Linked DNA regions of Stegostoma tigrinum. The protein of the gene in region 1 interacts with the protein of each later gene in a pairwise test. Links are inferred from orthologs where the notes say so. Each region holds a gene or a part of one and is shown in the gene's direction. Other genes may lie near its edges. The genes, in order: inactive ubiquitin carboxyl-terminal hydrolase 54-like and atxn1l.

Region 1 (16,649 bases):
TTTTTGTTTTGCCGCGTGATTTGAAACCTTTCAAACTGTTATATATTTAGACAGAACAAAACAAGCCAAATTGTTTTTTCTATCTTTAGTTTAACAATAAGAAGTTTATTACCCAAATGTGTAGCCTTGTGGGTTTATGTTTCAGTGAAAGACTGCCAGATTTAATTCAGGGAGATAATGGGAACTGCAGATGCTGGAGAATTCCAAGATAATAAAATGTGAGGCTGGATGAACACAGCAGGCCAAGCAGCATCTCAGGAGCACAAAAGCTGACGTTTCGGGCCTGGACCCTTCATCAGACCCTCTCTGATGAAGGGTCCAGGCCCGAAACGTCAGCTTTTGTGCTCCTGAGATGCTGCTTGGCCTGCTGTGTTCATCCAGCCTCACATTTTATTATCTTTAATTCTGGGATCTGTCTTGTGCACTCATAACATCACCTTGAATTGTAATCTGTAAAATAATAGGTCACTTTCAGATGTGAGGAAGTGGTCATCGTCATAGACCAGCAAATGTTAAACAGCTACTTATACAAAGATGTTAATGTGATTGGAAAAAGATAACCAATGCGTTACTTGGGGAAACTGGCAATCCGATTTACTAGAGTTTGACAGGTTCTCGACATCAATGGACATCTCATTCGTTTTAAACTTGATAGTGGGTGATACGGAGTGTCACTGTCTTAATCAGATCAAATACTACAGCTGTAGAAACATAAATAACAGCATTCACAAGTATTGTGCTGAAAGATGGCCAGATGAAAAGTCCAGTGGGTCAGCCAAGAATCCATACTTTGTGTACTAATAGCATTTCACAATCAGGAGATGACTTAATAGTGTATGACAGAAGACTAGTATTTCAGGTTCCCTTCAGTAAGATAACCTGGAAAGCTTACATCAAGGACACTTAGGGATTGGAAGATCTCAGGCCTCAGTCAGGGGTGTGATGGTCAGAGATCTCATTGCAAAATCTTTGTTGACACAGGATTATCAGGCCTGGAAATCAGTTCAGTTATTACTGAAGAAAATTCAAATGAAAGAAACCAGAAAAGTTTGCAACTAAGTGCAGAGAAGGAGAAAAAGAGCAAGCAGTATAACCTACTTAAGTCCACTGATCAACTTTTAAATGAAATTGTTCATTGACCAATGTGGCCTAGTGAACAAATTGCAATAGTAGCAGATGCAAATTTGACAGCCAATGCTGAAATAACACAAGTTCAAGAGGAATCTTTCAATTATTCCTTTTGTCTTTCAAGGGAAGAACCAAAAACAGAGTTAAGTCAGCAACAATCCTCAAGTCAAATAATTGACATGCAGGGTTTGCCAGTAAGATAACCATAGTGGGTGACTGAAGACGCTTAACTTAATCCATAATTTAAAATAAAGAAGTTATATACTTCAACATAGATGTATCAGCAATTGAAAATTAAGATTTGTTTAAGAAATTGAAGTGGATGGGGTGGCAAATTGTATTTGCTCCTAGGCTTTGCCTGACTTCAAAGAGATTAAGTAGAAGGGTAAGCTTTTTCAAGCACAAGCTGGAATCTCCAAGGATCTGCCTTCTTCCATTTTGTCCCAGAAAGTCCAAGGTCAACTGCCCTGTTTTGGAATAGCAACCACAAAATGGCATATTTTACATCTGTCTGGGCTGGCAGAATTGACATGAGTTTTTAGTTCAAGTCCAAATCTTGTGACGAGGTGAGAGTGCTACTGACTGAGCTATGGCTGACACCAGACAGCAGGCTTGATAGAGCTCCTTAAAATCTCACAGGGTTAAATATATTAAATAGAGAAGCTGTTTTTCAGTTGCTGTTGGGTTACTAATTAGTAGTCACATTATCAATGTGATTGATAAAAGAATCAGTGGCAACTTTGAAGGTGCATAGTTCCTTGAAAGTGGAGTTGCAAGTAGTCAGGGTGGTGAAGGCGGCATTTGGCATGCTTGCCTTCACTGGGTAAAACACTGAGTAAAGGAGTTGGGACGTTATGTTGCAGTTGCATAGGACATTGGTGAGGCACTTTTGGAATACTGCGTGCAATTCTGGTCACCCTTCTTTTAGAAGAATGTTGTAAAACTTGACAGGGTACAGAGAAGATTTACAAGCATGTTGCCAGGACTGGAGGGTTTGAGTTCAGAAGGAGGTTGAATAGACTGGGCCTTTTTTCTTCCCCCTTGAGTGTTGGAGGCTGAGGGTGACCTTATAGAGGTTTATAAAATCACGAGGGGCATGGACAGAGTGAATAGCCAGGTCTATTGTCTTTGGTGGAGGAGTCCATAACTGGAGGGCATAGTTTTAAGGTGAGAGGACACCCAAAAGGTGACTTTTTCACACAGAGGATGGTGTGCACCTCAAACAAATTGTCAGAATAAGTGGAGGCAGGTACAATTACATCATTTAAAAGGTATCTGGATGGATATAAGATTTGAAAGAGTTTGAGAGGTATATGGACCAAATGCTGGCAAATGTGACCAGGTCAGATTGCAATATCTGGTAGGCACTGACAAGTTGGACCGAAGGGTCTGCTTGCATGCAGTATGAAGATATGACTCTATAGGTGTCTCTGTTCAAGTTGAGCAAAAATATGGGAACCATAGGAAAAGCTCTGAAGAAGTCGTATCAGACTTGAAATGTTAACTCTGTTACTCTCTCTACAAATGCTTCCAGGCCTGCTGAGATTCTCCAGCATTTTGATTTTATTTCTGATTTCCAACGTTTACTATTTTGCTTTTATTATAAATGGGAAATACTCTATATCATGTTTTGAATTCTGACTTTGGCATTGGAAATAGCAGCTGCAGGGGCCATCTAACCTTTTTTGCCTGACCATTTTTTTAAGTTCCTAGAACTTCTTATGCTGTCTCACAGCTACAGCTGCTGATACTTTGCACCCGGCTGTGAAACTGACATATGAATGTGGCAGGCCAATCTTTAGGTTTTTTTTGGAAGGTCTAACAAGAATTCACTCTCAACTCCCCCATCGCATATCTCATTAAATATCTCTTACCCTGGTATGTTTATTGTCTCACTCAGACTCTTCATCAGTCGCAGTCTATATGTGCCAGCCAGAGCATATCGCTGGCCATAAGTCGAGTATCGCATTTTAAAAAATATGACCGTGACTGCATTTCAAATATACATCATTGATCGTAAAATATTTTGTAATGTTCTATGGTTGTGAAAGGCACTATAAATAAAGTCTTTTGTTTTACTTCCGCAGACCAAATTTACAATGCATCAATCCATTATCGTTATCAAACTAACAACAGAGCAGTTATCTATATGGTCAGGGTTCATTCAGTTATTCATCTTGAAAACTGGAGTATCAGACCTTGGAATTTTTGACCGGTAGCTACACAAAATGATTCATTTATTTATTGAATCATTAAGGCAACTTGAATTCTGTTTAAGCAGTAACTTGTCATCTGCCAAAATCACACCATGTCAGTTTACTCCTCAGATATGTTGATTGTGTGAATGCAGACAACTGTCTATAACTCCAACTGATGAAAAGCTGCCATAATTCAAAATTAGATTAATTGGCCTAAACATTAATGTAAAAGAGCAATTGCAACGTAATGAGGATCTGTTTTGTGCTGAAAAATAAAGATTTGGTGACAGAGAATGGAAGAGAATTGGGGCCAGTTTTGTATTTTTTAAAGCAGAACTTTTAATTTACTCAATAATAAAGGCAAATATAGATTTAAGGATGCAGGAAATAAATAGCAACCAATGAATAAACGCTTATTACCTTAGCACAAAAATGTGTAGTTAAAACTGTGACTTCAATATGGTGAATTGTCTCATAGGAACACAATGAGACCTAATAACTGGTAATTTGATCAATGAAGTAATTCACTGTGTATTCTGCTCCTCACCCTCAGTAGATATTTGATGAGAATTATTTACAGAGTTTAAGAAGTGAAAAACCCAACTTCTTTTTAATTCATTCATGGGATGTGGGTGTCGCTGTCTGGACCAACATTTATTGCCCATTGCTAATTGGCCAGAGGGCAGTTAAGAGTCAATCACTTTGGAGTCACGTCAGCCAGATCAGAAAGGTGGGCTGGTTTCCCTTCCAAAAGGACATTAGTGAACCAGATAGAACGAAAATTGTATTTATATTGCACTTTTCAAGGTGTCAGAATGCTTCAAATTTCTCTGGAGCCAATAAGGTACTCCTGAAGCATGGTCGTTGTCGTAACGAAGGAAACACAGCAGCCAACCTGTAAGCAGCAAACTCTCACAAACAGCAATGATATGATCATATAAAATTATTTTTGTGATTTTGACTGAGGGAGAAATATTGGTCAGGATTCAAAGGATAACTCCCCTACTCATCTTTAAATTGTGTCATGGATTGGTATATCAACCTGGGAGATACATTAATGTGTTATTAGAAAGACAGAACCTTTAACATTACAGCACTCCCTCAGGTGAGATTTCTGTGGCAAGATACCTCTTGCCTCTGTAAACAAAGCCTGTCCAATATCTACAGGGCACAAGTCAGGAATGTGATGGTATCGTCTCCACTTGCCTGGATGAATGCAACTCCAATAAATCTCAAGAAGCTTGACATCATAGAGGACAAAGCAACTTGTTTGATTGGCACCCCGAACACTACCATAAATATTCAATCCTTCCATCTCCGATGCACAGTGACATTAGTGAGCGTGATATCTAAGAGAAACACTGAAGCCACCCTGGAGCTGCCCTCAGCACTAGCTTGTAAACCTAAACTCATACCATTCAGATAGTATGATGAAGATGCCATAGTCCTGGAGAACCATCGAGCTGCTCCTTCATGGATAGAGTCAACTGGTGGTGAGTTTAATCTGAGGATCACCATGCCTCAGGCGTGGCGTGTGGTTGAGAAGGTGGTATTTTCATGGTAACCTCATCCAGTACAGAAAACGAGCCCATGGTATTAGGGGCAGTCTACATCACAAATGAGCTCTCCAGCCAAATGTATTAACCAACCTCACTAAACGCAAGGCACATGGATATATGGAAAAACCACCATCTACAAGTTTGCTCTAAGCTACACAACCTTGACTTGGAACTATATAACATTACTTCAAAGTCATTGGGTAAAATTCTTGGAACTTCCTCTGTAACAGCATTGTGGATATACCCTCAAAGACTGCAGCAGTTCAACAAGGTCACTCACCATCACCTTCTCACAGGGCAGTTAAGAAAGAATAATAAATGTTGGCCTTGATAGTGATACCAGATCCCTTTAACGAATAATATAAATAAGTTATTACTTAAAATGTCAGTCTAGATTTAAGTGTACCAGTTTTAGGAGTTGGATTTCAACATACCACTTTCCGACTCAGGGTCAAGCTGATTTTTTTCTAAAACAGTCTGAATGTTGTTCATGTTAACAGAACTCCATTCTTCTGTCCAGTCTGTTGCTGCAGTTACAGAGCTTCCAGTACAAACCTCCTGCTGTGCTCAAATTTAAAAAAAAATTGAACGCAATCTAAAACAACCTAACTCTACCCACCCACCCATCCACCCTCACTGTATCCAAGCCATCCCAACCAATACACCGCCACCCAACCCAACATACTTCATTCCAAGTGGAAGGATCACCAGACCTGAAACATTTAATCTGATTTGTCTCCACAGGTGCTGACAGACCTGCCAAGCTTTTTCCAGCAACTTCTGTTTTTGTTTCAGATTTACAGCATCTGCAGTTATTTTGGTTTTTGTACTTCATCCCAACTAATCCACACTCTGCCTGCCCAACTGAATACAACCCACTTAACCGAATCAAATCCACACTAGTTGGCATGGTAGCTCAGTGGTTCGCACTACTGCCTCATAGTGCCTGGGACGAGGGTTCAATTCCACCCTCGGGTGACCCTCTATGTGGAGTCTGCACATTCTCCTTGTGTCTGCCTGGGTTTTCGCCAGTGTTTCGGTTTCCTTCCACAGTCCAAAGATGTGCAGTTTAGGTGGATTAACTGCTAAATAGCCTGTAGTGTCCAGGAGTGTGTGGATTAGACATGGGAATTGCAGGGTTACAGGTAAAGGGTCGGGGGTTGGGTTTGGGTAGGAAGCTGTTTGGAGGGGCAGTGTGGACTTGTTGGGCCAAATGGGCTGTTCCCACACTGCACACTTCTATGAAGTTCACACTCCCACTGGACCTGACACCCCTATCCAGCCCAACACAGTTCTTGCCTTGACATGTGTCACTTCGCTCTACATTTCTACTTGGTATCAATCTACTGAATGCACACAGCCCAACACATCAGACAAAATACCTCAAGCCAGCCCTACCAAACACAACTCAACCTAATGAATTGAATCAACCCAAGCTGACACCAGCTGATACCCTGCCCCACCCCACATAACATCATTAGATCCCTTGCTCCATCCTATCCAACTTACACCACTCTACAGATCATATTCCATGCACAGTCAACTAAACCAATACTTCCTCAACCAACCAAATATACCTCATTGTTTACAATCCTCTTCTGCAGACTGGACTCAACTGAGATAGGAGGAACTGCAGATGCTGGAGAATCTGAGATAACAAGGTGTATAGCTGGATGAACACAGCAGGCCAAGCAGCATCAGAGGAGCAGGAAGGCTGACGTTTCAGGTTGAGACCCTTCTCCAGAAATGTGGGAGGGGAAGGGGATTCTGAAATAAATAGGGAGAGAGGGGGAGATGGATTGAAGATGGATAAAGGAGAAGATAGATGGATTAAGGAGAAGATAGGTGGAGAGGAGACAAACAGGTCAAAGAGACAGGGATGGAGGCAGTAAAGGTTAGTGGAGGTGTGGAGTTGGGGGCGGAGGCAGTTAGCTCAGTCTAGGGGGGGATGGACAGTTCAAGGGGGCAGGATGAGGCTGGTAAGTAGGAGATGGGGGTGGGGAGCTGGTTCATCCACTTCACCAACACCTTCCACCCCAACCTTAAGTTGACCTGGACCATCTCTGATTCCTCTCTCTCCTTCCTAGACCTCTCTGTTTCCATCCTTGGCAACCACCTGGAAACCAATACGCATTTCAAGCCTACTGACTCCCACAGCTACCTAGGATACATCTCCGCCCACCCACCTTCCTGCATAAATGCCATCCCCTATTTCTAATTCCTTAGCCTCCGCTGCATCTGCTCCTGGGATGAAGTATTCCACTCCCGGACATCCCAGATGTCCTCATTTTTCCAGGACCACAACTTCCCCCCACAGTGGTCGAAGACGCACTTGACTGCATCTCCCGCAACTCATCCCTCACACTCTCGCCCCACAAAAACAACCAAAACAGGATCCCCCTCATCCTAAGGTACCACCCCACCAACCTCTCAATCCAGGGCATTATCCTCCGGCACTTCCACCATCTGCAGTCTGATACCACTACCAAAGACATTTTTCCCTCCCCACCCTTATCCTCTTTCTGGACTGACCACTCTCTCCGTGACTCCCTTGTCCGCTCCACACTCCCCACCAGTCCCACCACCCCTGGTACTTTTCCCTGCAACTGCAGGAAGTGCTACACCTCACCCCAATCCCAGGCCCCAAGGCAAACAGATGTTCACCTGCACATCGGCTAATATGGCATACCGTATCCGCTGTTCCTGAAATGGCCTCTTCGACATTGGGGAAAACAAGCGGAAGCTTGGGGACTGCTTTGTGGAACACCTACTCTTGTTTCGCAACAAACAACAGCACCTCCCAGTCACGAACCATTTCTACTCCCCCTCCCACTCCTCAGACGACATCCTGGGCTTCCTGCAGTGCCATAACAATGCCACCCGGAAGTTACAGGAATAGCACCTCATATTTCGCTTGGGAATCCTGCAGCCCAAGGGTATCAATGTGGATTTCACAAGCTTCAAAATCTCCCCTCCCTCGACCACATCCCCAAACCAGCCCAGCTCACCCCCACAACCCTAACCTGTTACCCCCGACCTCAAGACCCACCTGAATCTCCTACTGACTAGCCTCATCCTGCCTCCTTGACCTGTCCATCCTCCCTGGACTGACCTATCTCCTCCCTACCTCCCCAACTACACTCACCTTTACTGGCTCCATCCCCGCCTCTTTGACTTGTCTGTCTCCTCTCACCCTATCTTATCCTTTATCCATGTTCTCTCTATCTCCCCCTCTCTCATTTATTTCAGAATCCCCTTCCCTTCCCCCATTTCTGAAGAAGGGTCTAGGTCCAAAACGTCAGCCTTCCTGGTCATCTGATGCTGCTTGGCATGCTGTATTCGTCCAGCTCTACACCTTGTTATCTTGACTCAACTGAATTGTGCACCACATACGTCCAACACGTAGCTCTCACTCCACATCATTCAAACCAATTTACATTTTCCTACTGAACCTAAAATCATACCACTCAGCAAAACCTAAACCCATTAAACTGATCCTCCCATGCCAATCTACACAATGCTCCTGAACACACCCCCATCCAAGGTAAATCTAGAACCAAGGTACTCACCTCTCGCGAGAATTAGCGGTTTCCTACGACTTCCAGATCATCTCGCGTTATTTGATGATGGTGTGAGATGGTGACTCACCTCCAGAGGGACAGAGACGGAGACTGGGATTGAGGGAGTGAGACTGAGGCAGACAGAACGTCCGGCATTGAGATTCCCGCAGGCAGGCAGACAAGGATTGAGGGAGGGACACTCTCCGGCAGGGAGTGAGTGAAGGAAGGACTTTCTCCGGGAGGGAGGGAGTGAAGGAGGGACCCTCTTTCCGTGAGGGAGGGAGTGAGTGAGTGAAGGAGGGACTCTCTCCGGCAGGGAGGGAGTGAAGGAGGGACTCTGTCTCCGGGAGGGAGTGAGTGAGTGAGTGAGTGAAGGAGGGACTCTGTCTCCGGGAGGGAGTGAGTGAGTGAGTGAGTGAAGGAGGGACTCTGTCTCCGGGAGGGAGTGAGTGAGTGAGTGAGTGAAGGAGGGACTCTGTCTCCGGGAGGGAGTGAGTGAGTGAGTGAGTGAAGGAGGGACTCTGTCTCCGGGAGGGAGTGAGTGAGTGAGTGAGTGAAGGAGGGACTCTGTCTCCGGGAGGGAGTGAGTGAGTGAGTGAGTGAAGGAGGGACTCTGTCTCCGGGAGGGAGTGAGTGAGTGAAGGAGGGACTCTGTCTCCGGGAGGGAGTGAGTGAGTGAGTGAAGGAGGGACTCTGTCTCCGGGAGGGAGTGAGTGAGTGAGTGAAGGAGGGACTCTGTCTCCGGGAGGGAGTGAGTGAGTGAGTGAAGGAGGGACTCTGTCTCCGGGAGGGAGTGAGTGAGTGAAGGAGGGACTCTCTCTCCGGGAGGGAGTGAGTGAGTGAAGGAGGGACTCTCTCTCCGGCAGGTAGGGAGGGAGGGAAGGAGGGACTCTCTCTCCGGCAGGTAGGGAGGGAGGGAAGGAGGGACTCTCTCTCCGGCAGGTAGGGAGGGAGTGAAGGAGGGACCCTCTTTCCGGGAGGGAGGGAGTGAGGGAGGGAGTGAAGGAGGGACCCTCTTTCCGGGAGGGAGTGAGGGAGACTCTCCGGGAGTGAGTGGGGGGGCGGGCGGCTGAGAAGGACCGTGCAGAGGGCGAAAGCGCGGGCAGAGACAGTGAGTGAGTGACCTATCGGCGGATGAACTGCCACGAGGTAGGACATTTCACTTCAGATTGAAATTTTCTTTCCGGATCGCCCTCTAGCAGTACCCCGCCGCCGGGGTGGGGGTGGGGGTGGGGGCGGGAGCGCAAGCCGAATGACCGTTAACGACCGTCGCGTGGAGCTCTGACCCTTGGCCGTGGGATTGACCCCTGACCTCGGCTGACTGGCTTTTAGAGCATTACAAAAGTTGGCAGTCTTTCATTCCCTTCGTAGAATTTGTCTGTCTTTTTGCCTTACGTGATGTTGTTGCAGGGTTTCCACAAAGATGTTCAGCGGCAACATATGGTAAATGAAAATAAGAGTGTATATTCTATGTTGTATCGATGATGTTAGCTCTCCTGCAAATCCAGTCACCGCATGCCTTTCACTCACCCGTCACTTGTGAAGCAATAGATTACAACAATGCCCTTCTTAGTTACTGGTCTGACTCCAGTGGGATCATATTTGACGCGGCAATGATATATTGTTGGTCTGCAGCAATTTGGGTCTGTTCTTGATGGTCAGGGAGATGTCAACAACTTGGTTGGAATGTGAATTACTGTCTAATGTATTTCCTCACTGAACCTGCATTTGAGGAAGCAGTTGGCTTTTTCCGCTTTGTGAGTTTGGTTTGAAGCAACCAGACAGGACCCGTAAAACTCCCTGATGTGGCAACTTTAAATCCCATTCCAGTTTTGGTCATCAGTCTGAAGTGCTGTGGAAGAATGAAACATTGGTTTTATTCCTCTGTTCACATCTTTCCTTCTCTTGAATTTAGTATTTTGAAGTGACCATTCTCTTTGCGAACCTAGTCCACTTCTAAGTCATCCTCAACACGCCCATTCCAAGCATTTTTTTTGTACCTATAGGAAATTCAACACCTATGTTTTTTTTTCTTCCTACCATCCAGAACTCCCATACCATTTGGGAGGTACAGTCATTAACTTATTCTCTTTTTAATTTAGAATATTCCTTTTAACTGTTCAGAATGCAGTCTCTATTAAGTGATGAAATCAAAGCCAGACTGATTACTTTGTGGATGTCTCTGTGTAGTGTGATCCAGCACTTGTGCCTGCCCATCGTATAAATTTGGGGGAAATAGAAAATAATTTTTCGCTCAGGCACTTGATAGTTTTCCAGACTCAATATTGAATTTAGCAACTCAGATGATAACCACTGCCTGTGTTCTTTTTGGGGTAACAATTTGGTTGTATTTCTGCCAAAGCTATTTTAAATTTATCTGTACACATTCTTTACTTGGTCCATTACTCTCTTCTTTTGCTTTGTCCCGCCATCCATTTTATTATTTAATCTTAGATAATAAAATGTGAGGCTGGATGAACACAGCAGGCCAAGCAGCATCTCAGGAGCACAAAAGCTGACGTTTCGGGCCTAGACCCTTCATCAGAGAGGGGGATGGGGGGAGGGAACTGGAATAAATAGGGAGAGAGGGGGAGGCGGACCGAAGATGGAGAGCAAAGAAGATAGGTGGAGAGGGTGTAGGTGGGGAGGTAGGGAGGGGATAGGTCAGTCCAGGGAAGACGGACAGGTCAAGGAGGTGGGATGAGGTTAGTAGGTAGCTGGGGGTGCGGCTGGGGGTGGGAGGAAGGGATGGGTGAGAGGAAGAACCGGTTAGGGAGGCAGAGACAGGTTGGACTGGTTTTGGGATGCAGTGGGTGGGGGGGAAGAGCTGGGCTGGTTGTGTGGTGCAGTGGGGGGAGGGGATGAACTGGGCTGGTTTAGGGATGCAGTGGGGGAAGGGGAGATTTTGAAACTGGTGAAGTCCACATTGATACCATATGGCTGCAGGGTTCCCAGGCGGAATATGAGTTGCTGTTCCTGCCTGTCTCTGCCTCCCTAACCGGTTCTTCCTCTCACCCATCCCTTCCTCCCACCCCCAGCCGCACCCCCAGCTACCTACTAACCTCATCCCACCTCCTTGACCTGTCCGTCTTCCCTGGACTGACCTATCCCCTCCCTACCTCCCCACCTACACCCTCTCCACCTATCTTCTTTGCTCTCCATCTTCGGTCCGCCTCCCCCTCTCTCCCTATTTATTCCAGTTCCCTCCCCCCATCCCCCTCTCTGATGAAGGGTCTAGGCCCGAAACGTCAGCTTTTGTGCTCCTGAGATGCTGCTTGGCCTGCTGTGTTCATCCAGCCTCACATTTTATTATCTTGGAATCTCCAGCATCTGCAGTTCCCATTATCTCTGATATTATTTAATCTTACCTGCAATCCAACCTTGCATTTATTTCTCTGTCTTCCCTGTGCCTGTTTCTGTACTTGGTTAATATCTCATTACATCTCCAGTTCTAGAAGAAGGTTGAGAGGTGACTTAATTGAGACATATAAAATAATCAGAGGGTTAGATAGGGTGGATAGGGAGAGCCTTTTTCCTAGGATGGTGACGGCGAGCACGAGGGGGCATAGCTTTAAATTGAGGGGTGAAAGATATAAGACAGATGTCAGAGGTAGTTTCTTTGCTCAGAGAGTAGTAAGGGAATGGAACGCTTTGCCTGCAACGGTAGTAGATTCGCCGACTTTAGGTACATTTAAGTCGTCATTGGATAAGCATATGGACGTACATGGAATAGTGTAGGTTAGATGGGCTTGAGATCGGTATGACAGGTCGGCACAACATCGAGGGCCGAAGGGCCTGTACTGTGCTGTAATGTTCCATGTCTATGTTCTATGAAGTTACTGTCCTGAAATGAGAGCTGGGCAGCTTTCTCTGCAGATGCCTGGCTTTTCAGCATTTTATTCTTTATTTCAGATTTTCAGCTTCTGTAGTATTTGCCTTTCTTGTTCATAAATATGTAAATCTCCATTTTAAAAAATAGCTTTAAAATTTTTATAGAAGTTTTGTTTCATGTCATCCACTAGTGACTACTCCTTGTTTTGGACTAATAATCATCAGAAACTCCAGAATGTAACAGGATTTGGGAGTACTAGGTGTGGAGTCTAAAAATGCTGAGATTTTAATGGTGTTTTTGTTGAAACAAGTCAAAATATGATTACCTTGAAGACCAGTTGATCTATTGCATTACATGGATGGAAGACAAAATGTAGTCTTGGGGTGAAGTTGATTTAGAGGCCAGGGAACAGTTGGGATTAGAGTTAGGCATCTGTAATTCAGTTTATGCTTTGGGCCTGTGTTTTGTCCTTATTCTTATAATGCTTTCATTTTATATTAAATATTGGCATGATGTAGGAAGCACAGAATTGTTTGGATCATAGCAGTTGCTTGCAAGGCAGGCCAAAGAGCCTGAAGCTGTGGTGGAGGCGAAGAAGTGAAAAGCTGAGATATTGTAGCAATTTTGACAAAACTTTGAGAGGCGTGTATTTTTGAGAATTATATAGAAATGTGGATTATGTAACTTCTTGGGAGTCAAGCGACTTCAGAGCTGAGCTACTGCATAATGACTATTTTGTACTATGATCCTGACTTTTAAATCTGGTCAGTGCTAATGTTCATGTTTTGAATTCATTGATAACTTGCGTACCACGTGCTTTTGTTTTGAAAGTGTACCACGTATTTGCTCCAAATATAAAATCAATAATACCAGGGTACCATCTGATGCTTCAAGGAATGACTGTGGAAACACGCTAAGGAATTCAAATCATACTTTGGAGAGACTTAGAAATCCTTGTTGAAATTATTTGCTGTGATTCTGCTTTAATTTTTCATCAGAATAATCTTATAATGGATGTTACATACTTTGGATTGCTTACAAATTTGCATGATGTAAAAGATTTTAAATGGCAGCTTATTACAACGGTGATATTGTATCTTTTGGATATTGCTGCAGAGTATTACACCTTCATATAGCTTTTTACAAGTTTTATTTCAAAGATATTCTGTGGTTAATACTTGATACTTTGCATCTTAAGCTAACATTCCAACAAAACCCAAGCAAGTTTCTATATTTGTGAAATGTCTCAGAATCAGCAAGGAAATTTAGCACCAGTTAACTCATTTTTCTTTGTGTCTAAGGTTAGACAGGATGATGGAGAACTGTGTTGCTCATGCTGGTGGTGTCATGAATTCTGTTAACTTCATTCTGACAATCTTAATGCATGACCCAGAGAAGAATATTGCCCTTGTCATGCTTGTCAATGCTGAAAGAGATTTTGAGAAATGATTGTTGAATTTTTGCTCTAAATTTATAAAATTCACTCTGAAATTGCAGGCCCCCAATATTGATATAACTGCAATTAATAATAGCTGTAAGTTGCTCAGGTTGATACTGTAACAAATCAATATATTTTTAATTCTCAATTTATCCAAATGGTTTTAGGAATTATGTTCCTTATGTCATTGGGCTTTAGTGGATTGCATCTTGAGGCCAAGTCAGCAGATGTAATCTAGTTTTGCTGCAGAACCTGAAAGTACAAGTGTGAGGAAGGAATAAATGTGATAAAGTCACATAACGATACTAAAATGAAGATTCTTTTCACTTGTGCGTACTGAAAGGCTTGTTTGGAGACAAAGATAAAGAAAAGCTTTTTGACTTTTACAATAATATTATGGTTAACTAATTTGCTTTACGTAACAACGAAAAATTCAGGTAGTTAACACGTTTTTCTTTAATACTTTATAATCTAGCGAGTTTTGAGAAGATTTGTAGCTCAGGTTGAGGTTCTGGATGTGAGTTTGCTTGCTGAGCTGGAAGGTTAGTTTTCAGACGTTTCGTCACCATTCTAGGTAACATCATCAGTGAGCCTCCGACGAAGCGCTGGTGTAATGTCCCGCTTTCTATTTATCTGGTTAGGTTTCCTTGGGTTGGTGATGTCATTTCCTGTTCTTTTTCTCAGGGGATGGTAGATTGATTTGGAGTCAATGTGTTTGTTGATGGAATTCCGGTTGGAATGCCATGCTTCTAGGAATTCTCGTGCATGTCTCTGTTTGGCTTGTCCTAGGATGGATGTGTTGTCCCAATCAAAGTGGTGTCCTTCCTTATCTGTATGTAAGGATACGAGTGATAGTGGGTCATGTCGTTCTGTGGCTAGTTGATGTTCATGTATCCTGGTGGCTAGCTTCCTGCCAGTTTGTCCAATGCAGTGTTTGTCACAGTTCTTGCAAGGTATTTTGTAGATGACGTTCATTTTATTTGTTGTCTGTATAGGGTCTTTTAAGTTCATTAGCTGCTGCTGCTCTCCTACATCAAAGACATTTCCGAAATGACTGCCAGACTACTCAGACCCCTTGGCATCAGGGTAGCCCACAAACCCACCAACACACTAAAACAGCAGCTAATGAACTTAAAAGACCCTATACAGACAACAAATAAAACGAACGTCATCTACAAAATACCTTGCAAGAACTGTGACAAACACTGCATTGGACAAACTGGCAGGAAGCTAGCCACCAGGATACATGAACATCAACTAGCCACAGAACGACATGACCCACTATTACTCGTATCCTTACATACAGATAAGGAAGGACACCACTTTGATTGGGACAACACATCCATCCTAGGACAAGCCAAACACAGACATGCACGAGAATTCCTAGAAGCATGGCATTCCAACCGGAATTCCATCAACAAACACATTGACTTGGAGCCAATCTACCATCCCCTGAGAAAAAGAACAGGAAATGACATCACCAACCCAAGGAAACCTAACCAGATAAATAGAAAGCAGGACATAACACCAGCGCTTCGTCGGAGGCTCACTGATGTTACCTCGAATGGTGACGAAACGTCTGAAAACTAACCTTCCAGCTCAGCGAGCAAACTCACATCCAGAACTTTATCATCTTGAACTATTTCACACTGTTTATGAATTTTGAAGGGTGGGCTTTGCATATAGTAGTAGGATTAACACTGGTGGCAGGAAATGCAGTTGTTCGTGTCACAAAAATGAGAGGTGTCTCACGTGTTCTTCCTGTGCTGAATTGGTAAATGTGAACTTGAAGAGTAATGAGTTTTTTGTTGCTACTGTTTATTGTTTAAACTTTATAAATATAAACTACAGCAATTTATATTTGTAACGCGCCAACTAAGCTAATTGCAGTGAATTGCTGTTCGGTTTACAGTGCCAATAATTATTTGATTTGTTTTTTTAAGACGTATGTGCGACACTTCTTCTAAGAGATGTCTTTTGTCCTGTTCCTCTTCCAGAGGATTGTTTTCATGTTGGTGCCCAAACGTCTCCTTTGGACAGGCACTTGGTAGACAGCTTTGAGTTATCCCTGGACGGTGGGATCAGGGTTTCTCACAGACCCACAAGGCTTTTAGCTTTGCGTTCAGTTACTTGAGAAGGTTCCTGCTGGGTGTTAAAAACTTGAGTTCTCTATTGTGTGAAATGAAGTCTTAGATGAGAGACTTCCCCTTAAAAATCGAAAAGGGTAGATTGTGTCTTTTTGGTGACTTTTACTGGACTAGAGAGAGACGGAACATAGAAATCATAACATTTGCTGAATGGCCTTTGTCAAGTGTTACAGACCAGACCAAACTAGACCAAATCACTCAAAAATATTTCAAGAAGGTAGACCAGACCATATTTTGTTCTTAGTTTAAAGGCAAGTGCAAAGCATCTCAGATGCAATACGACTGGTCAAACTACTTGCCATTAAACAAAACACTGTTTATTTAAACACTGTAGTTAGAATACAGCCAAAGAGGGGAATTTAGAATAACTTAAGAGTGGCAACTTCACAGAATAATAGATACAGTAAATTACTAATTAACTGCTCAAATATAGTAACATCCAAAAACACACACCTTCGCAAAAAGGAAGATTCAGACACAGATTCTGAATACAGTTCTCCAATCCAGGAGGGAAAAAATAAACATGAAGAGAAAATTGAGTATGTAGCAGCCAGGTGACAATCACTGAAGCTTCCAACTCTGTTAGGATGCCAAGAGCTTCTGATGTTACTGACAAAACCAAAAGTCAGAAATCTGCATCTGAGAAAGCTGACCGCATGTATTCAGGCTGTTCTTAATATAAAAAAAATCCTGAGGCATCCCAAGCGGTTTACTGAAGGTCTTCAGTAATGAGTTCGTTACCTCTGCCTTACAACCTCTCTCTAAATGGTTATTTTATCCTTCTTTT
Region 2 (16,390 bases), on another chromosome or scaffold:
TATGGGCAACAAAGCTTAGCATTCTGCCAAATCTATTTGTGCTACCAGTACTTGCTTCTCAAAACAAGTATCAACAGTACATAATGAAACAGTTTTATATTTATAATCTCAGTTAATGGTAATACTGAATAAGTCAGATCCCAAAGTGAAACTTGGCTTGACAGATCATAAGTTAATTCTCTATAGTCAGCTGCTTTGGTGGCTAGTTAAGTTTATTCACACAAGGCTACAGGAATGCAAAGAACGCAAGATTATCACATACAGAAAAACAAAAGACAAAGCTATATATGACAGTTGAGAAAGATCTTTAACATAAACAAAAGAAATTTCAACCTGTTTCCCCAGGAATATATGTGTTTTGTGGATGCTCAAATCCTGGAGAAATATCACGCTTTACCAAACTCTATATTCTTACTTAACAGACTCTGTCTAGTTCTTCTTGGACTGCTGAGATAACCTTACAACTTAAGAGTTGTGTTGCCAGTTCTGACAATTTGAAAACTTCTGTAGAAACTCTCACAGTTTAGAGGCACCCCAAAACTAAAACACTTCTGCTAGGATGACTGTTCTCCTGAATTGAAAACTTGATTGTTCAGCGAAGAAACTTAAAGTGAATCTCTGATTCTTCTTCTAAACTAAAGTCAAAATCTATAATTCGTGGCCATGGATCTGTATTCACTGTATATGGTGAATTTAGCAGTAAAAATACTATGTAACTTAACAGCAGAAGTAATCTGTTAGGCACCTACTTGAATCACATGTTTTCTTGGAATTGATGTATTTGGTCATCTTTCTAAACAACTTTGATTTTTTTTAAGGAAGAGAGTCTTCACAGAACTGAAGCCATAAGCCATTTGCCTCTACTTTAAAAATCCAAATTCCAAATATGAAGGTATTTTATGCATCTTTATTGCAGAAGTCATTTAAATGTACTACAGTACACAGCTCTACATTTTCTGTAATATAGCAAAGTTTCTGCTGTCACTGTCCAAGATTTTTTACTGTATAGAAAGAAATATAGACAGCGAATCAGCAAATAATTTTCATGTGATAAATTACTTACATTTTGTGCAGGTTCGTTCTTTAAGTGGCCAATTCCCACAAATTCAGCTTCGAGCTGATAGGTTAGTGCCAGAACCTTAATATCAGTTGCTGAGAGACTAGGGTAGTCTCCTGTCTTTTTACAAAACTCAGTTACTGTGAAGAAATGTTTAAAAATAATATTTGAATCTTATGAATGAACTTGTATTTGTACAACACCTTTCAAAAATTTAGGACTGCCCATAGATTAGTTTTTAAGTGTATGTCAGCAAGTGTACCATTTGATCTCTACACAGCAAGGTTCCACAAACAGCAACGAGACTGATTTGTCTCTTTTGCTGACTTCGATGCTCACAACCCTGGGAGAACTCCCGGTCTTTCACCAAACAGAAATCTGGGATTTTTAAGTTCCATTAAACTAGAGGTTCTTGAAGTGTGTCTGTGAGCAGCCCCCAGATGATCTGCAAAATGAGTCTAAAATGTAAGTCGCTGACATGCAACCCTTGGGCTGAGTCCATGTAAGAGATCAGGTCAAAATTCTGATTTCCATGTAACCAGACTGTTTCCCACATGTACAACATGGCATTAGTGAAAGATGTGTGAGTTCAGTTTCAAAAGCAAAGTCTATACTACTGTTACAACATGTAACTGAGAGATCAATTTTGCAACAATGGGGTTGAACATAAATAAAATGAACAAGCCGAATGTGGAGTCCTGATTAAGGCTGATACTTTACAGCTTGGAGTCAGCTATTACCTCATTGGAATTTCAAAGGTAGCAGCATTCTGCCTGTTAATTCTGATGGATTGTTTAGTGCTGTCTGGCAATGGTGAGCAGGCTTGCCCAGTGGATAGTCTGTGGGGCCTTTGCCTTCATAAGTACTTCTCCACTCCACCCACTGGGATACCGGCCTATAGCGTTACGTGAAGCCACCCTCCTAGCAACAGATTTTCCAGGCTATTGTTTATCAGACTGATTCTAGGTTAGTGGGATTACCCTATGGGGAGAGATTGAGGAAGTTTCTGTAGATTAGGTTAGATTCCCTGAAGTGTGGAAACAGGCCCTTCGACCCTTGGAGCATTCCACCCAGACCCATCCCCCTATAACCCACACAATCCTGAACACTACGGGCAATTTAGCATGGCCGATCCACCTAGCCTGCACATCTTTGGACTGTGGTAGGAAACTGGAGCACCCAGAGGAAGCCCAAGAAGACACGGGGAGAACGTGCAAACTCTGCACAGACAGTTACCCGAGGCTGGAATCGAACCCGGGTCCCTGGCGCTGTGAGGCGGCAGTGCTAACCACTGAGCCACCAAGCCGTCCTTGGGTCTATATTGTCTAGGGTCTAGGACAAATTGAAGTGAATTCGCTGAAATGTACAAAATTTTTAGATGTCCCAAATGGGTCTGGGTAAACATAAGGATGCTTCCCCTGCCTACAGGGATGGGTCTCAGAATAAGGGATAAGCTATCTAGGACAAAGATGAGGAAGAATTAGAAGATTCCCTTTGGAATTATATGACCCAAGGAGCTGTCGAGGCTCAGTCACTGAGCCTGTCCAACACAGAAATTGATAGATTTCCTTAAATTAAAGTTGTCAAGGAATATGGAGATTGTTCCTAGCCAGCTTCGTGCACTATGTGAGCTCCAGTGAATGGCATAGCAGACTCGAGAGGTCAATTGGCCTACTTCAGCTCCTATTTAACAATGTGTTTACTGGTTATTTTGTTCTCTGTTTTTTAAGATTGATCAGTTTCCATCTAGGTGAAAAAATCTCCAAATTCTAGCACCATCTGCACCAACAAATCCCTGAAGCCCTTCAATGTGCGTTCAGTCTCAATGACAAAGGGAGCAGACTAAGATCTGTAGTTAACTGAGGCACGTATTAGATGTTTGGTCTGCAACACAGTATTTAGTTTGGTTTTGGTTCCATTACCAATTAATAATCCAAGTTCCAGTAATGATTCAGTGAGAAGAGGTTAGAGTCATTTGTTGGGTTTTGTAAGGTCTCACAATGTCTCTACAACAGTATGGGGTTAGTACCTAATGATAAGTAGTAGAGACAAGTACCCCAACAACTTCTCAAGGGAACAATTTTCTTTTCAGAATGGCCACAGAAGAAGGGTGACTGGACACAAAACATTAACTCTACTTTCCCTCCACAGATGCTGCAGGTCCTGCTGAGGTATTCCAGCAATTTCTTTCAATTAAATGAGAACAACTTGCATTACATAATGCAAGAGTTTTCCTTCCTTCACTATCAAAATCAATTCTGTTAAAATAAAATCAAACAAGCAAAGGCCTTAACATGAGTTTTATAGAAGAAATGAAGGTTTTATCATTTATTTTAACACAATATATCCCCCAACTTTGGTGGGTGGGGTGAGGAGTGATCAAAAAAACTCACCATGTCGAATATATTCAGGGAATGGTTCTTTAAAATGGAGTTGATATGGTAAAACTGCTAGTCTTCGCTTAGTTTCTTTGTCTCGTATTTCATTCACAACTTCCTTTAACGTGTAGATGGTTTTTCCAAATTCCTAAAGTCAATAAGATTAACAGGTATAATGCAAAGAATAGCAATGTTGTTGATTTTGTTTTACAAATCAAACATTGCTCATTTGGTTAACACCTAGCTCATGTTGAAAGGAAACATTAAATATCTCATTTATTTTGCCAAATGGTTCCATCAAAAGCAGAAAGCCTAGAATGCATCTTAAAATACCCTTTGTTGCGGATGAGTGCAGGCAACATTAAGACGGACAGCTGAATACAGACTGACATTGGGGATCGCATGGAACTCTGCAAAAAGAAGGGTTTTCTCAATGTCCATCTCTTCTCCTTCAACTATTATTCAACACAGTTTCACCACTTTTGCTATTTGTGCTTCCTTGCTCGAAACAAATTAAAGTCCACATTTGCCTACATGGATTATTTCAAAGTTAGACATGGAACATGGTTAAATGCTTTACAATTGAAGCAGTTACAATTTCTTGCCAAGATATTTCTACTTAGCATTTTTTAAGAACATATTTGCTTCTTGGCACCTCACCATCCATTCGTCTCTTTCTTCTATCTTAGTTTTGTTTTACTGAATTTTATGGTTTATCAAATCTGACATTTATTGACTCTCTTGACATGTGCCTTTTAAATTCAAGTTCTGATGAAAGTATTCAACTTGAAATATTAACTCTGTTCTTTTCTACATAGACCCTCCCAGACTTGTTTAGTATTTACTGCGTTTTTTTGTTAGAATGTCTTTTTCCATTGTCCTTTCTTACAGGTAGAGAATGAATAAATTACAAGTACAGTCTTAACACATGCAAATGAACAAACAGTACTTGCATTCACACATTTACTCCCAATTTATGTCCCGTTTCACATTAGATAACTTCAATAAATCACAATATTCAAATACATTTGGAAATTATGCAGAATTAATGCATTGCTATTTTCTCACTTGAAATTGAGCTATTACTTCATATTTTTTAAAAGTCTTTTTTTAAAATTCACTCATGGGATATGGGTGTCACTGGCTAGGCTAGCATTTATTGCTTATCGCCTGGATATGCTGGCAGTGAGCTGCTTTCTTGAACCACTGCAATCCATAGTGTGTAGCAACATTCACTGTGCCAGGAGGTCTGGATTCAAGTCCAACCTCCTACAGAGGTATGATAATAGCATCTTTAAACAGGTTGATTCAACAATGTCTACCTTGAGGGACAATTCTACTTTGTAAACACCTGACTGTTCAATAACCTGATGACTAAATATATTTTACAATGCCTAGAGACAGAATCTAGGATGTACTAATTTTCAGTGCATGAGTGAAGATGATACAAACTGCCTCAGTGTTTACAAGCAAAGGGGTAAAGAAAAGTTTCATCTTACAGCCTGGGTGACAACATTAAGGTTGTCATGTGTCTCATCTTAACCTCAAAACTTAATTTGACAGAGGTCTAACTTACAAAATACAAGTTAGTTTTCTTTCTGCTGTTTCATGTTTGATGATGTGAATCATAGAATCAATAGATTTATTATCGTGGCAAAAGTTGAATGCTCTGTTTCACTTATCTGCATAGATCCAGACATCCAGCCTGAATGTGACCAAAGGCTGCAGCCACATTAGCCAATGAGCAAGGGTGTGTGGACGAACTGGGATCAATTCTGATCCTCAGCTGAATCATTTGCCAAAACTTGGTGTCAGGGCCACCCAGATGAAAAGCTACCATTCATGAGGTGAAATTAGCCTGGCAAAAATGAACTGTACATCAGGTGAAGTCAGCACAATGTGAAGATAAAATCTAAAACTTAAATGGAAATTTGTATTTCAAACAAAATGAGGTGATGTGAAGTCAAGCTAGAATAAAAATAAACTGTCAATAACTTCATCTGGAACTACAAAATAATATCTGGCAGTAGAAGATATAAAGTAAATATCTTTTTTGACAACCTCTTTCACCTGATACCAGAATACTTCGTGGCAATTTTCAGCAATGACTAATCAGTTATTATGTGGAGTTGCCAGCATTGGACTAGGGTGGACAAGGTCAAAAATCACAAGATACCAGGTTATAGTCCAACAAGTTTACCTGAAGATATAAGCTTTCGGAGTCTTGCTCCTTCTTCAGGTGTCAGTAAGAGCTGGCATCAAACACAGAATTTATAAGCAAAAGATCAAAAGGTCATAGGACTGACACAAACGTATTGAACAAACCTCAGATTGAAGATTTATCAATTAGAAAGGATTAATATGCAAATTCCAGAATTTCTTTCAAGTCACTGCCCTGAGATAGCTAAAGGTTTTATCAGTATATAAAGGTGACATCTCAGGTCAAACAATGCATTTTAGGTGTGAGGCTTTGCTTAGAATCTGGCTGTGCATCAACTTGGAGTCAGACTGTTTTATTTCCAAAGTAGGAATTTGTAAATGCCACATTGACTGATTACAAATTGTGTGCTTTTTCAACAAAATAGACTGTATCTGCAAATGCAAAATCACCACAAAATTTTGTGTGTGTGTGTTTGTTTTTGTGGGGGGGGGGGGAGAGTGGGGGAAGGGGGAGAGGGAGGGAGGGGGAGAGAGAGAGAGAGAGAGATAGGTAGAGACAATGATAATAAATTAATCAGTAATTTGAGATCCATAATGGATTGTCGCCTATATCTGACACCAGGCTGATCATTTATGAAACTCAGCAAAGTGTACAAGTAAAAGGACCAAGTTACGCTCATATACAACTCCAGTCGTTGGGAAATCGTCACCTGTTTCGAGGGCTGTCAGAAAGAAAGTTTTTGTTTCTCAAATCCTTTTTTTGGCCTTTATACTCGCTTGCCCACGTTTTCATAATATTAACGGACACGTGTTTAGACCAGAATTGCTACAGTGAATGTTTCGGAACGTTTACATTGTAACTATGTGGGGAGGTTGCAAAAGATGGGAAAAGACTGAGTTCAGTCAGTACTAGTCCCACACCCAAGGCCCGAGAACAAATACAAAACAAAACCGCAGATTTGTGCTACCCTGTCCACAAAAGCCCATAGACACGGATCACCGACCTGGAGTGGCGCGTTCTTTAAGAAAGCCCCAGCATCCGCCACAACATGCTCCACCGTACACACCGCCATCTTCCCTTCTAACACTGCCCAATCAACTACAGCATTACTCAAACTATACTCATCAGTAAACTACCTGTTCATTGGTCAAAGCAACAAGCCTGGGCAACACAGCAGCGTAACATTGGTTTATTGTTGTTGGCGCATGTATTTATTTTAAATCGGCAAAGCTGACCACGTTGAAGGAAAGGATAACAAGGTGTAGAGCTGCATGAAAACAATAGGCCGAGAAACAGGAAGATTGACGTTTCGGGCTTAGATGTTCATCCAGCTCTACATCTTCTTATCTCAGATTCTCCAGCATCTGCAGTTCCTAGTACCTCATGTCGAAGGAAACTTTGCTAATCTACGTTTCCTTTTCACTTGACAAAAGAACATGAACAGTTTCCAAAATGATTTATAAATAGTTTTGGTGCCAAGGAAATTTAATTGAAAATGCAAAATATTTCTTTGTTTAATTGATCGGAATTATAAATATACCAAAATCTTCAATGCTTCTTCTGAAAGTATTTTGACAGCACATTTATTTATTTAAATCGGCATTGAACCCAGACCAAATATTCCAATACCTAGTCATCTTTCATCTCTAGGAAAACGAATTTGTGATTCGTGAAATAAAACACAGAAAAGGAAAAACTTAAATCTGACAGCATGTCTGGAGAGAGAATTGAAATTACAGGTTGCTCGTCTTTCATTGAAATTGGGTAAAAATTGAGATGTAGTAGTAAAAAAGTGAAACGAGGCGGTGGAGAAAAGTACAAAGGCAGAATTCTGTGTAAGTGGAAAGTGGAAAATTTAATGGCAAAACGTTTCACGGTGCGAGGCCAGTTAAGGGAGTGGTAATGCGAATATTAGAATGAAATAAAAACAAGTATATCAGTACTTCTGCTGGAGAACAGTTGGTGTATTAAGAATTTAAAAGGACAGGTATCGCAACTGCTGCCCAAAAATGCTACAGGAAGGGTAGAGGATGTTGGACTGAGGAGTGAACAATGCATTGCAGGGGAAATGGTTTATTTGAAATGTTTTAAGTGAAGCAAACAAAAAATTCTAGGTGGCATCTGGCTTTTTGGCCATCTCTTTGGTTGCCCACAATTTGCTACATTTCTTACTTTTTTCAGTTCTGACAGATCATTGGACTAATAGTGAAGCAAACGAAATCTTTGCTTCACTATTTACTGAGCACCTTTTGCGGCACTGGTCTAATTCTACAAATAATTCTTAAATGAAAAAAAAGTGGATGCTGGAAATTTGAATTACAAAACAAACTGCTGGAGAAACTCAGCGGGTCAGGTAGCATCTGTGGGGAGGGAGCAAATGACTGCAGATACTGGAATCTGTACTAAAAAAAACTGCTGGAGATCACAGCGTGTCAGACAGCATTCATGTAGAGAGAAAGAGCCAGCTAACGTTTGGATGACTTCATCAGAACTGAAGCGGCGTGAAGGGAGCAAAACATTTACGATATAGTTGGTGGTGATGTAGAGTGCTGGTGCAGAAAGGATGTAGATAGTTCAGATTGAGTAATTCGAATGGGAGAATGGCAGAACAACGGTGTGTCTAACTGCCAGACTTGAAAGAGCAGGCAGTCCCACTGGGGTGGGCGGAGGGGAGACAGGGAGGACAGGATATTAGAGAATGTTACATGTAAAGCGAAAATAAAGTGAAGGAATGGGAGAGTGTAACAAGTAAAGCCAAAAGAACGGGTTGAAATGGGAATTGATTCACAATTTGAAGGTGTTGAACTCAAGATTAAATCCGGACACTATAAAGTACTTAATCTGTAGATGGGATGTTGTTCCTCCAGTTTGCGCTGTGATTCACCGGAACACTGCAGCAAGCCGAAGGAAACAGGTTAACCCGAAGTTCTGAAAAAGAGTAATTTCGGACTGTTAACTCTGTTCGTCTACCTCTCCAGGCTGCCAGGCCTGCTGAGTTTCTCCAACACTTTCTGTTTTTATTTGCGATGGGGTGAGTTCCCCTCCACCAGTTAAAGGCTCGGTAACAGTCTGTCGTTCCCGAGCAGCCCTCCCGTCTAGAGGGGGCGCTGTCAGTGGAAGACCGCGGCCACTGGCCTCGGATCGGACGCTTTGAGTGACGCCATCAGCCTGCGCTGTGGTGTCTGTCGCTGTAAAGTTTTTTTTGCTGTTGAGTTTCTAATCTTCAGGTGAGAGGAAATGTAAGACTTGCCGGAAAGGGAAAAGCCCACGAATTCGCGGAAACTGCTGGAATCAGGATGAAGTTTGCAGGTAAAAGAAAGATCAACTAAAGAATGGGATCTCTCAGCCTATTTTGCTGAAGTTTAGCAACCTGTAGGAAGAATCTAGTTTCCTGCTGGGCCTGACAGTGGTTTTACTTTTAAATTTGAGAAATGCTGCTTTTTTAGTTAAGGTGAGACGATAGTGGATGGTCATTCTTTTAGTACACTGCATAAATAAATTGGTTTGAGTGTTGTGATTTTTCTCTGAATGGTACTGACAATATCATCATCATTTCATGGACGTCACCCGCAATGATCTCCTGATTACTTTGTTTCTGGGGACGCTGGACGGGGTAGTTTTGTGTTATAAAAGCCAGGCGGGTACCATGCTTGTTTTCTGGTTTGTGCTAAACTGAACTGTTTCTAGGAGGGCACCATCGTTGGCCTCAGAACATGGAGAGAAAATTTAATCTGCCTTTTTGACAATGCATGCATATTGATAACTTCTCAGGACTTGAATTTGATGAAAAGCTAACTGACGCTTACAGCTTAGCCTAACATATTTGGTCACTTGTACCAGTGGACAGCTGAAGTGAGTCGAGTTCTGTGCACCATAACTATGTCTTTAAAAACATGACATTTGCAGAACAGGAGTGAACCAGGTGCCTTATAGTCTTAAAGTGGAGTAGTTGGAAAGAATAACTCAGATTAGGAAGCTACAGCATTTTTCTTGATTTCATCATGTGTAATGCAGCACATTTCAATCTCTTAGGGAACAATAAAATTCCAGAGCAATAACTTCCTATCATTCCCATCCATTATCTCTGCAGTCTGTCAGGGATATACCCTTGGTTATCCTCCAATTTCTCATCTACGTGCTACAACTTGATGGCTTCATCTGAAAACATACTTTAGATATCATATAAATATTAACAATATTCAGCACTGCCCTTCCTGATCCCTTCACTCTGTTTAATTTGACACAGTGCTTTTCCAACATCCGTTACCGTTGGAATCTTCTACCAACTCCATCTCTCTCGATAGCAAGTATCTTATTAACAACCTTACTGTTATATTTTAAACCCCAAGATAAGTTTCTGACTACATATATGTTTCATCAACAAGACTACATACTTTCACCTTTTTAACATCACCTATCTCTACCCCTGCACCAGTTAATCTATTGTTCGGATGTTCATTCTTTGCTTTGTTACCTTTACAGTTATTTATTCCAATTATCACCCATCTAACATCCCATGTTCTACCCTCACCAAAAATCTGGGCGTATTTCCTAACAGTGTCTCATGTTCACACATCCTGATCCAGAAACATTTAATTTTACAACTCTAATCCTTGTTTTAATTATCATTATAACACTCACTCTCCATTCTTATTTGTCAGCTGTGGCTTATCTAGCAGTGCACTCACCTCTGAATCACAGTGTTCTGGGCTCCAGTGCCATTCCAGTGCTTGAACGTGAAAATCTATGCTGACAATCCAGTGCAATACTGAAGGAGCATTGCACTGTTGGAGATGCTTACTTTCAGATGAGATGTTAAACCGAATCCCCCATTTGCTGCTTTGGTGAATGTGAAAGATCCCATGAACCTATTTCAAAGACATGCAGGAGAGTTTTCTCTGTTGTCGTGGTTAATAGTTATCACTGTCAAATTAATGGAAAGCAGGTTATTTGGTGATTATCAAATTGGTGTTTGTGGCAGTTTCAGTGCATACTGATTGTCATGTTTCCTACGTTACAAACATGATTACATTTTTAAAAAAAGTACTTAATTGTCTGTCAAATGCTTTGAAACATCCCACTAAAGGTGCCGTACAGATGCATATCTTTCTTTTCCATCCTTATAACTTCTAACAACCTTCTTAAGATCTCCTGCACATCCCTGATTTTAACCGCTTCACCACTGGTGGCCTTTGCTTTCAGTTGCCCAGGCCCTAGATTCTGGCATATTGCTTCTTGATCAGTAGGACAATCAATGGTTCTGGGTTAAGGACAGGAAAGTGCATGTAAGAAATGTTGAATCAACCATGAGCCAATTGAGTTGCAGAGCAGGTTTCACATGCCAAATGGCCTACTTCTGAACATATTTCTTATGTTCATGGTAACCATGTAACCATTGCTGATTGCCATGGAACTAAATCTGGTTCATGAGCGACCTCCCACGAATGGTAGGAATTCTGGGTCCTTACCTGGTCTGGCCTGGATGTAGTTCCTGACCCACCGTAATGTGGTTGACTTCTAAGTGTCCTTTGAAATGACGTAGCAAGCCACACAATTAGGAATGGGTAACAAATGCCAGCAATGCCTACATTCCATGTAAGGGGAAAAAAAAACTTTTCCTTCTCTCTCCATCTATTGAATACTCTAAGATACTCTTGAAAACGTACTCTTCATCCATTCTTAAATTTCTTTATGTGACTGATTATCCAATTTTGTTTAATAGTATTGCTGTGTATCTCAGTGTGTTTTACTGCCTTTATGTGCTCTTTAAAGACAAACTCCTTTTGTTCCATTAGGTAGAAAATATGATGCTGACAAAGACATTTTAGCCATGTGCCAATCTTTCACATGAGTGCTCCTAATCCCATTTGATTGTTCCATTCCCATAGCCTTTTATTATCCTCACTTACATCCAAAAGTAGACCAAACCTAATCCTTTAAGTCAACACAGTTTCTACTTTAAATGCAAACTCTGGTACATTGCATAAACTTAGAATACAAAAGAAAAATATCTGTGGCCCTTTTCTACATCTCTGCATTTAATCCTGTATTTATGATTTCTCATTCCAGATTCCCAGTGTGGAGCTGGAGGAACGCAGCAGGCCAGAATCTTCAGAAATTTCTGAAGAAGGGTCCCGACCCGGAACGTCAACTTTCCTGCTCCGCTGATGCTGCCTGGCCTGCGGTGTTCCTCCAGTTCCACACTGTGTTATCTCTGACTCCAGCATCTGCAGTTTCTACTAACTCAGATTTGCAGTGTAGTTTTATCTATTTCATTTTATATTGGTTCTTGGGATGTGGATGTTGGCAGCAAGGCTGCAATTTCTCGACTGTCCATGGTTGTTGAGAAGATTAAGTATCAGTCATGTTGTATCGGACTGGAACTATTGCAGATCAGTTCAGGGTGACTGATAGCTTTCTTGAAGGACTGTCAACCCTTCTCTGTTTGATTTTATTTAAATATCTCCATCAAACCTCTACAGTTTCTCTATTCTGATGAAAGCAGGTCCAATATTTCAAGCTTTTCTGCATTTTATTTTCCATCAAGGCAACAGTTCCCTCATGAGCCAGTATTGTACTCTTCTTGTTGCCTTCTTTTCCTGTCTTCATTAGGTTAACTTGTCTGTAATTAACCAAGTTTATGTCTAGCCCTGTTGAAATGGGGCTCAGTTGCTGTTCGGTCCTCTGCAACACATCCACTCACCAAAGGACTCTTCTGTCAGTTCTTCCAATTTCCACAGAAACTCTGAATGTATCCAGTGTCATGTAAGCTGAGTGATTTGTATATGTTTTATTGTCATTTGTTTTATTTAGATTTTGAAGTAGTAGTACTTCACATTGTAAAGAACTGTCATCTGAAATTTAGTGAGCTCTTAGTTTGAAATGATCTCTTTCCTCTTCAATCATTCTGGTCCTTTTTGTGCCATTAATTTAATGACATTACTGACTGAAGGAAAAAATGAGAAAAAATTTGGGGTCTGAGTTTGTGAAGCAGTTTAATAATTTATGACTAACTTGTCACTATTTCTCGAGCCATGCTCTCTTTCAAAACAAAAATTAGTATGAGAGAGCAAATTCGTGGAATGTTAATTTAAATTTGTTTGCAATGGGAGAGCCTTACAGTCAGACAGCGTAAACATTGAAGAGCATTAGCTTGCTTTCAGTTGCAAGGATCAGGGATTGATGTTTTTGTGCTTAGGGGAAAAATGCATAGCTCATAAAGCTAAGAAACTAGACTTTTTGGAGACTTGGTGGAACTGCCTTTGAGATACTGAAAAATCATATAATCCCTACAGTGTGGATAGAGGCTATCAAGTCTGCACCAACCCTCTGAAGAGTGTCCCACTCAGAGTCAACTCCCCGTCCCATAATCCTGCATGTACCATGGCCAAGCCAACACATCCCTGGACACAGTGGGACAACTTAGCATGACCAGTCCACCTAACCTGCACATCTTTGGACTGTGGGAGGAAACCGTAGCATCCACCTGTGGAAACCTGTGCACACATGGAGACAATGCGCAAACTCCATCCAAACCAAGGAGGCCATCAATAAACATGTAGAATTAGACCCTATATATACACCACTGTGAAGAAAAACCAGAAATGAGGTAATCAACTCCAAAAGCCTCGAGTTTAAATACCAGGCGGAAAAGTACAACAGCAGGTCATCGGAGGCTGCACTGAAGATGTTACCCAGCACGATAATGAAACATCTGCAAACTAATGAACCAGCTCGGCAAGTGAACCAATCACAGCATCCATGCATAGTCACCCAAGGCTGGAAACAAACCTTGGTCCCTGGCACTGTGAGGCAGCAGTGCTAACTACTGTGCCACTGTGCTGCCCAGAATTTGCGTCTAATTGTTGCATGTAGTGCATAGAAGTGATAAGGAATTTTAAAAAATCATTAATTACATTGATTAATGAGAGCATAAAAGCTTAAAGCAGTTAATGAAGGTAAAGTGGAATTATACTAGATATAACTGTATATGGATTGAGGAGTCATTATTTAAAGGGATAGGATAAGAGAGAGAATATAGTCTTGGGGACCCTCAATTTGCAGACACAGATTAGACCATAGTATATGTAGAGATTCAGGACAAATTAAATGTGATACACATCTACCGTGATACTAACCTTTAAAGAAATCCCTTATGATAGACCCAATGGTAGACCTTGAAAATGTCCAAAACAAAGACAGTACATTCATGAAGTATTCAGGATCACACTTCCAACAGGCTGTGATGTGGGAAGCAAGTTAGCCACTAGAATTGCCTGCTAGACGACGTTACTGTTGATCTGAATTAAACTAGACCTTCTATGGAATTGCATGGTTGGAGAGTTAATGGCAGCTTCTGTAAGTTTGTGTAATACTGAAGTAGGACTACTCGGATCGTCATTTGAACGGTTTCCGATCACTCAAATGTTGGGATATAAATAAAAATTAGCACATTTCCACAGAAAAAGAAAGATGGATTGGAATTGTTGGCAAAATATCTTTATCATAAATGATATGTATCCAACCTTATTCTTTCTTTTCCTAATAAGACCATAAGACATGAGTAGAAATAACTGCTCTGACATTCAGTGAGACTGTGGCTTTTCCCTATAACCCTCGATTCTCTTTCTGATTAGAAATCTGCCTATCTTGGCCTTGAATATACTTAATAAACCAGTCCTCTGAAGTAAAGAATTTCACAGATTCATTACCAACTAAGAGAAGAAATTGTTCCTCATCTCTCAAATGTGCAACCACTTACACTGAAATTATGCCCTCTGGCCCTAGATTCTCACACAAGAGGAAACAACTTCTCTACATTGGCCCTGCCAATTCCCCTAAGAATATTATATGTTTCAAAAAGGTCATCTGTCATTCTTTTAAGTTCCAATTAGTTAAGGCCAAATGTATTCAACTCCACTCATAAAACAGGTCCCCCCCCATACCTGGTATCAGCCTAGCGAACTTCCTCTAGACTGCTTCTGATGCCAGTAATCTGTCCTCCGATAAGGGACCAAAAGGTATTTACAGTATTCACGCTATGGTCTGATTAGTGCATTATATAGATTTATCTTTTCTACTTTTATACTCCATTCCCTTTGAAATAAAGGTCAATGTTCTATTTGTCTTCCTAATTACCCACCAAACTTTTGATGTAAGCTTTTTCTGATTCAAGCATGAGGAGTCCCAAATCCCTCTGTTCTGTAGCTTTCTCTACTTAATTAATATTTAGCTCCATTTCTCAGCCTGCCAAAGTGCATAATCTTACAAATTCTCCCTTTTCCTAACTCTGTTCTATTAGTTAGCCAATCCTGTATCTATGCTGATATATTACATTCAACACTATATGCTATTATCTTATTAAGTATCTTTTTCCATATTTCTAAATGCTCTGCTTTACATCCTTTATAATAGACTCTAACATTTTCCCATAACAGACGTTAAACTAACTGGCCCATAGTTACCTGTTTTCTCGCCCCCACTTTTTAAACAAAAGTGCTACATTGGGAGTTTCCAAACCTTTGGAACCTTTCCAGAATCAAAGGATTCTTTGAATATTACTGTCAGCGCATCCACTCCGTGTAACCACTTTCTTTAATATCCTAGGATGCATCCCCTCAGGTCCTATTCACCCACATTTATTTTCATGAATGCTCACAGGACAGTGGTCACCATGATTGACAATTCATGGGAGGCCAAAACCAGCTTCGCCACTGGCACCTGAGTTGACATTAGCTCAGGAGTGATTGACCTTTCTGTGATTTAGTGCCACATAAGTACAATGTTATTTTTTTTTCAATTAAACTATAAAGTGTTTAATTTTTAAAAATACTTGTGACTACTTTTGATCTCTCGACGGCAGTTAAGGATGGACGATAAATGTTTGCCTGTTGCTTCAGTTTGCTATTATTTATAAACTGCGGTAGTGTTTTCTTCTCCAGCAGTAACATGATGTTAATTGTTAGTGCATGGTACAGAGGCAAACACAACAATATGTGGATCGAAGTAGCTTATTTCAAGTGCCTGTCTTTGAATTGTACATATCTTCATTTGCAATAGTCTCTTTTATTTTGTTATTTATGGGAAATTCGGAGTAAAATCCGAAGTTCCACAAAATTAGTTATCACAAGCAAATCTGTTCTAGTCAGCATAGTGCAGCTCTGGCAACAGAGCATGAGTAACATAATGTGAGACACCTTTGCCCACATACCATTTTGAATACTTTTTTTAAAGGAGGGGAAAAATAGCTGGTGCAGCAGGTGAACATATGATTTGAAAGCAGCTCAGATGAAATGGCAAAGGTCTGCAAGCTGATTGGGCTTTTGTGTTTTAGGCGAGCTCAGCTCTAAGTGCCTGGTAAGTGTGGATCCACAGCGCAATATTCATTGTGATCCACTACATATTGCTACTAAATGTATTCTGTATGTATGTCAAAAGTAGTGGGAAAGTCATACTTGTACAGTAGGAATGTTGTTCTGGATTTGAAGCTGTAGTTTCATGGCACCGTGAACTTTTCCTTGTATCTGGTCATGCAATACTTGACATGAGTATCTGACTCAAGAGTCTTGATCAGATATATAAAATAAGTGAGAGTGAGGAAGAGAGAAAGCCAGTGTCAAAGATCATTTTCATGCATTTCAACTTTGGCTAGAAGATCTGTATTTTATACACCCCATAGAAAAATAATAATATAGGGAAAGAATGCAGGATTGTTCACTGGGAGTGGTAGTGTCCCAGCCTCTGGTTTGAGTTAAAGTTCTTCCTACCCTAAAGGTGTGGTATAACTCGTCTGAG

Evidence for each region.
Region 2: the proteins of inactive ubiquitin carboxyl-terminal hydrolase 54-like (region 1) and atxn1l interact in binary tests that used the Homo sapiens proteins (3 or more experiments, as listed by UniProt). The link is inferred for Stegostoma tigrinum from reciprocal best matches to the Homo sapiens genes USP54 and ATXN1L.

Annotation. Positions count from the first base shown.
Region 1 is NC_081390.1:26,506,287-26,522,935, reverse strand, and holds the start of inactive ubiquitin carboxyl-terminal hydrolase 54-like, read left to right. Parts: upstream 1-9,459; 5' UTR 9,460-9,594; intron 9,595-9,871; exon of another isoform or gene 9,872-9,888; intron 9,889-16,649.
Region 2 is NC_081369.1:40,874,708-40,891,097, reverse strand, and holds the start of atxn1l (ataxin-1-like), read left to right. Parts: upstream 1-8,750; 5' UTR 8,751-8,905; intron 8,906-16,390. Other genes in the region: RNA-binding protein NOB1, read right to left, coding at 1,064-1,197, 3,451-3,583, 6,600-6,668. UniProt on the Homo sapiens protein: Chromatin-binding factor that repress Notch signaling in the absence of Notch intracellular domain by acting as a CBF1 corepressor. Binds to the HEY promoter and might assist, along with NCOR2, RBPJ-mediated repression.